Linked DNA regions of Danio rerio. The protein of the gene in region 2 interacts with the protein of the main gene of each other region in a pairwise test. Links are inferred from orthologs where the notes say so. Each region holds a gene or a part of one and is shown on either strand. Other genes may lie near its edges.

Region 1 (3,500 bases), on a different chromosome or scaffold from region 2:
GCATCCCTACAGTGCAGCATGGTGGTGTCGGCATCATGCTGTGGGGATGTGTTTCAGCAGCAGGAACTGGAAGACTAGTCAGGATAGAGGGAAAGATGAATGCAGCGATGTACAGAGACATCCTGAATGAAGACCTGCACAAGAGTGCTCTCCACCTCAGACTGGGGCGACGCTTCATCTTGCAGCAGAACAACGACCCAAAGCACACCGCCAACATATCAATGGAGCGGCCCAGCCAGAGCCCAGACCTAAATCCTATTGAGCATCTCTGGAGAGATCTGAAAATGGCTGTACACCGTCACTTCTCATCCAACCTGATAGAGCTTGAGAGGTGCTGCAAAGAGGAACGGGCGAACATCCCCAAAGACAGCGGTGCAGAGCTCGAGCATCATATTCAGAAAGACTCGAGGCTGTAATCACTGCCAAAGGAGCATCAACAGAGTCTTGAGCAAAGCCTGTGAACACTGATGTACAGGTGATCTTACAGCTGCTTATTTTCAATAAATCTGCTGCAATTTCTAAAACTCTCTTCTCCACATGCTCATTATGGGGGATTGTGTGTAGAATGTTGAGGAAATAAAGGAATTCACTCCATGTTGGAATAAGGCTGTGACAGAAACTGAAGCGCTCTCCACACTTCACAGATGCTCTGTATATATTGGATAAAAAATGACTCCAGATCCCAGATTGCAGAAGAGGTGCGCTCTCACTTTGAGCTCTGTTGTTGAAATTGTGAAACTCACCCACTGCCCAACTGAGGAGCTCCATCCCACGATGCAGGACTCCAGCCAGGAGTGGGAGCGTATGTGTGCCCCCTTCAGGATGGTACAGCGCTTCACTCTCACCCCGTCCTCCAAAACCACCCCGGCTCCAATCGTCACATTTGGGCCAATGGTGCAGTTCTGCCCAATCACTGCTGTTGGGTCCTGGGTTACATTTATGGCATGTTTCATTATTTCAGTACAAGCATCAAATTCTGCAGTACAATATACATACTACTCAACATCTTAGAAGATTGTTGTTAACGTTTTTGCAGCCTCTAATAGTGTCCAGTAAAAACCTGCGGGCAATAACAATCCAGAGTCGTCTTCATGTTGTTAGACACATATCAGGCCTCATTCGTGAAACATGAGCATACTATATTTCTGTTAGAAGCTACAAAAGAAAGGTACAACAGCTCCCAATACCACACTTAGATGCTGCATAAACCATCTGTGTTTGTTCTGGTGAATATTTTACTACTCTGTTTTGTTTTGTCTGTCTCTGCATTGCTTTAACCGGGTAAAAGCTCAAATCACTGTCACTCTTTACCCAGCTGTCCAATCAGGGGAGGAGGATTGAGACTGAGCAACAAAGGAGAAGTCAATATTCCTGGTTAGTGCATTTTTATATTCAGTGATGCTCTTCAAAATAAGACACCTGTAATCCCGTAGTGCCATGGATTACAAATCCCAGCAAGCAATGCGTCTCTGCTGGGAAAAAACAACATGTACCACCACAGGTTTTCAAGAGACCCTGACATTTTGAACTTTAATTTGCACATTAACTGTATATTGTTTGGAATTATCAAACATGTTGGAGCCAAACCCTAGAAGGGAGTCCAGAACATTCCACTGCATATAAAGGTCCGCTAGGTCTAGGTCCGCTGCTACTCCGTTTGCACTGGCTGCCAGTTGCTGCTCGCATCAAATTCAAAGCTCTGATGTTTGCCTACAAAGTGACTTCTGGCCTTGCTCCTTCTTATCTGCTCTCACTTCTGCAGATCTATGTGCCCTCTAGAAACTTGCGTTCTGTGAATGAACGTCGCCTCGTGGTTCCATCCCAAAGAGGGAAGAAATCACTTTCCCGAACTCTCGCATTCAATCTGCCCAGTTGGTGGAATGAACTCCCTAACTGCATCAGAACAGCAGAGTCACTCGCTATTTTCAAGAAACGACTAAAAACTCAACTATTTAGTCTCCACTTCACTTCCTAATCTGCAATTGCCTCTTTGAATATACCACTAACTGCACAAAAAAAAAATACTAATACTACTAATACTTCCCTTCTTAGACTTTACAGACCTGAAACTTGCCTATAGCACTTATTCATTGTTGCTCTTAGTTGTGTAAATTGCTTCCTTGTCCTCATTTGTAAGTCGCTTTGGATAACAGCGTCTGCTAAATGACTAAATGTAAATGTAAAATGTAAAGTAGCTGTAATTTATAGATGAGATTCGGCCATGCTAGTTGTGTAAATGGGTACACGTGCACCATTTACACGAGGAACTGGAAGTCATTAACATAGATGTTTAATTACGTAATGTCATGTTTACACAGCAGGTGGCGCAGTGGCGCAGTAGGTAGTGCTGTCGCCTCACAGCTCTCAGGTCTCTGGTTTGAGTCTCGGCTGGGTCAGTTGGCGTTTCTGTGTGGAGTTTGCATGTGTGTGAAAGAGTGTGTGGGTGTTTCCCAGAGATGGGTTGTGCCTGAAAGAGGATCCACTGTGTAAAACATATGCTGGATAAGTAGGTGGTTCATTCCGCTGTGGTGACCCCAGATTAATAAAGAGACTAAGCAGAAAAGAAAAGGAATGTTTACACAGCATTTGTGAATCCAGAGAGTTCTCATGAAGGTCTGTTTTTATTTACTCCTAATCTTCAGTGTTTTATAGGCGAGAGGCTCATTGTCTGTCCATAGCGACAAGTATTTGTCACAGTAAATTTATTAGTATTTTTCTATTAAATAAAAGACTTGATTATATTAAAGTTGAACTAATTTTGAAAGGATTGACTACGACTGGTCCCGCATTAGCATTAGCACATGATTCACCAATCAGACCATTCCCAATTCACTATAAATAACCAGAGTTAACTTCACCTTGAAGAATCCCCCTTTCCACCTCTACTCCTCCCCCTTTTCCTAGATATGGCGACACGGTGGCCCAGTGGTTAGCACTGTTGCCTAACAGTAAGAATGTCACTGGTTCAAGTCCTTACCAGGCCAGCTGACATTTCTGTGTGGAGTTTACACGTTCTTCCTGTGCTCTTGACGGTTCCTTACCCCCATCCAAACACATGCGAGATAAGTGAATCGACTACAGTGAACCTAAATTGGCACCACAGATGAGCTCTTAGCCAGCAGTATATCTGTAGCAAACCCTAATTTGTCTTTAACAAATAAAAACAGGGGAGTTCTCCAGACCTACCTAAGCTCAAACTCCCCTCTCTCCCTGCAAAATGAGGGAGCCCCAGGCTCTAGAGTTGTATGAGCTCAGGGCTCTCTCCCGGGTCAGCATGCCAAACAAGCTTTATAATCAATCATCAGCTAAGAGTGAACTCCTGATAATACATAACCTGTGGAGAGGACGGAGTGAGAGTATTGTGCAGAGAGCAGAAAACAATGAGAAAAAGCTTCACACCACAAGAACATTTCCAAGAAAGCCGGGTCCAGCGCGGAGCCTCTCAGGGGCCTGCTGCCGTACAGATTGCAGGTACATGCACATGCCCGTCAGGAAGTCTT
Region 2 (3,500 bases):
ATCTGCTTCCTTAATTACAACATCACTTCAGAACGGTGTTTAAGACCAAGGTCTCATCTCGAAAGCATTGGCGAGTCTGATGGTTTACAGTCTTTTATACCTAGGGCTGTACAATATATCGTTTCAGCATCGTTATCGCAATGTGTCTAATCCCAGAATAAAAAATATTGTAATGCTAGATTTTTCCAATATAGTACAGCCCTATTTAAAACTATCATCCAACTAAAAGTGTTGTCTTTACTTAGAAAGTGGTAAAAGAGTCCCATGTGGGACATTCTTTAGCCATCTAACAAATCCAGCCTGCTAGAATCCCTTTATAAAAGACAAGCTTAAACAGGAAAGCCAATTAACAAAACAAAATAACAGCCCTTTAAGTTCCCCGCCCACCCCTTCCACTCCTGCCCACCAACCCACGCGCACGCACACATGCACATTTGCATCAGCAGGAGGAAATAGCTGCTCTGCCCATAATTACTACCTCAGCTTCAAGATGCAAATTTGCTTCTACAAGCCAAAAAGTCTGCAGCTCAAACATCTGTCCGCAAACACAAACGAATCAAATCTCGAATGGTGCCAAGCAGTACACAAAACCCATATTGTGTGAAAATGCAGTCACACACCTCTTGTTTCTCAGGTTCAGCGCTGGGTGGGATTTCGTGAGTGTGCTCCTCCTCTTTCTCGGGTTCATCTTTAGATTCAGCAGCTTTCACATGGTTATCCACAAACTCTTTAAACGAGTCCAGATCACGCTTTCCTTTGTACTGATCGATCTGAAAACATACAGCGTATACACAGCTTACCATTGTTGTTCGGTGTAAACAATATAATTTCCTTTGAATAGTCCCCATTAGCCACTCCCTTTGGTAGTAGCTAATGGGGTTCCTGATAAAATAAATAAATAAATAAATAAATAAATAAATAAATAACATTTATGACACCACCTACTGACAATTTAAAAACAATTCATAATTTTTTTTTGGATACGATTCATAGCTATTTTAAATTATGTTGAATATCCAAATAAACATACACATTCGGTCATATGACCAACTCAGGCTAAATTTAAAATAATCATACAATTTAGAATGACTACAATACTCACTTATACAAAACTTGAATGTATATAAAAAACAAACTGGCCTGTGCAAAAGCATAACTGGTCTTTCTATTGTCACAGTGTTTTAGGGGCAGTTCACACAAAAATAAATATTACTATACATCATGTTTCATATCATTTGATATCGATTATTATTGAATATTTTTTTAACAATACATTTAGGAATATCAGGATTTTTAACTACTTTATTTTAATTTACAAAACTTTACCAAGGCAAATAGTTAATAGTCAAAAACAAAAATATTTAAACAAAATCTCTGATCTCTCGTTAAAGAAGAGACTCTTAGACTTGATAAATAAAATGTTACAAAAGTGTGTGCAACTAAGGCAGATCAACTTATGTAAGGTGTGAATAATAATGATACAGCTCCGTAAACAAAAATTATGATAATAAAATCTGAGTTAAGTAACGGAACCAACCATCATTATTCAAATCCATGCTGAACATTACAAATTGTGAAGCTGAATGACTAGATTACCCCCTATGCTAAAAAAAAACTTTCAGATGGGGAGCTAGTGGCTGAGATGCACAAGAAAAAAAAACCAAAGTCACACTGGCGATCCTTTTTTCATGAGTTCACACTTGCAGTCGTTTAAGTATAAGGTGTATTTAAGTACAATGAGGAAACAAAGAGGAGTTGGGATTTGAGTGAAGTATCTAGCCCGGCCCCAGAACGCTTCCCCCCGGGAATGTAATGCTAAAGGCTGATTTATACTTCTGCGTCAAACTTGTTCCTGGAGGGCCGCGTATGCTACGGCGCTGACGCATAGCCCTTCACCGTGGCCGTCGGTGTCGCTGACGTGCACCTCTCAAAAAAATGTAACTACACGTCGCAACAACGCATAGCGCAAGCTCTGTGATTGGTCGGCTTGGTAGCGCCGACGAGTCTGGGCGGGACCGAGAGCCGCGCGCATGGCGCGAGCGATTGTTTACAAGTGTGGAGTCCCGTGAAGGAGCTCCGGATGGAAAGTTTTGTTTTGTGTTTACCTCATGGTTAAAGTTGTTGCACGTCCGCCGGTTCCTGCTTCAAAATGAGCGAGTTTGAGTCACTTGTACATCCAGGAAGTGTTCAGAAAAGCAAAACAGAATCGAAGAAACTCGACACAGAGGAACATTAACACCTCACTGCCCACTAGCGTTTCAGAAGTGTTAATGCAGACCAACAGAGACAGCGCGCAGAAGTATAAATGCACCGCTGCGCGCGTTGCCTGCGCCGTGAGTTACGCCGGTCACTTGAGGCAGAAGTATAAACCAGGCTTTAAGAGGTGAGGTGTCGGGGTGGTGGAGGGATGCTAAAGTCATGAGATGCTGCAGGTAAGACAGCTTTGGTGTATATATAGGGGTTTGTTCAAGAACTGATTTGATAATAGAATAATTGTCAATGACTTATTCGATACTGAAACTTCCTCCCGAAATATGTTCACAAAACATTACTTTTTTTACAATCTCCTCACTGCTGCTAGCCACTGCACTTATTTTTGCATGTGTTGTTATTCTGACCTGAAGTGAGAAGCGCAAACCCTGGCATCTCTTTTAACTAGGTGACCATCAACCGTTTTCTCAGAGGATGACAAACGGACAAACCATTGCTGCAGCTTTGATGCAAGTTTATAGAGAAAAGTCAAAAGCACTGTAGTGTTTGGGTGCGCAGTGTTTGTCTGAGGTAATTAGTCTGCCGTTATTACTGAAATGTGTATATTGCATATAAAGCGTAAAGCAGATTGGTTAATTGTCCTTGCATGAATTGTAGTGCACTTGCAGCATTTGGAAAAGATCATATGTTTTCAACTGAGTGCGCCTTGAAAATGCATGTGCCCGTCCCTCCCATATGTGTGCAGTGCAAGTCGAGCACCTCCATTGAAAATGATAAACCTACACTCTAAGCCAGGGGTCACCAAACTTGTTCCTGGAGGGCCGGTGTCCTGAAGATTTTAGCTCCAACCCTAATCAAACACACCTGAACAAGCTAATCAAGGTCTTACTAGGTATACTTGAAACACCCAGGCAGGTGTTTTGAGGCAAGTTAGAGCTAAACCCTGCAGGGACACTGGCCATCCTGGACTGAGATTGGTGACCCCTGCTCTAAGCTTTTTGGCATTGCTTCCAAAGCACACGCTCAGCAGCCACATTTTAGTAACATTATAGTGATTCATACCGAATCTTTTTATTTTTTTTATTTTTATAATCAAAATTGACAACGGTGTTTGGTCAATAAATACAGATTTTAATCGGCCAGCCCTAGTTCACACCTAACAATTCCTCTCCAATGCGCTACTTTTCTATTGTTTTTCAATTTAAACACACACTTAACAGACGTGTTTGAGAATTACGCTGACGTCTTTTAAAGTGTCACATTTGGGATTGCTGTGTTTTTTGGTGTCA

The links.
Region 1: the proteins of txndc5 (region 2) and gmppb interact in a two-hybrid assay, tested with the Homo sapiens proteins (2 studies listed by BioGRID and IntAct). The two-hybrid records come from large-scale screens. The link is inferred for Danio rerio from reciprocal best matches to the Homo sapiens genes TXNDC5 and GMPPB.

Annotation. Positions count from the first base shown.
Region 1 is NC_133197.1:41,298,755-41,302,254, reverse strand, and holds part of gmppb (mannose-1-phosphate guanylyltransferase catalytic subunit beta), read right to left. Parts: coding exon 3,400-3,500; intron 927-3,399; coding exon 744-926; intron 1-743. UniProt on the Homo sapiens protein: Catalytic subunit of the GMPPA-GMPPB mannose-1-phosphate guanylyltransferase complex. Catalyzes the formation of GDP-mannose, an essential precursor of glycan moieties of glycoproteins and glycolipids. Can catalyze the reverse reaction in vitro.
Region 2 is NC_133199.1:8,160,573-8,164,072, forward strand, and holds part of txndc5 (thioredoxin domain-containing protein 5 precursor), read right to left. Parts: intron 771-3,500; coding exon 621-770; intron 1-620. UniProt on the Homo sapiens protein: Protein disulfide isomerase of the endoplasmic reticulum lumen involved in the formation of disulfide bonds in proteins. Can reduce insulin disulfide bonds.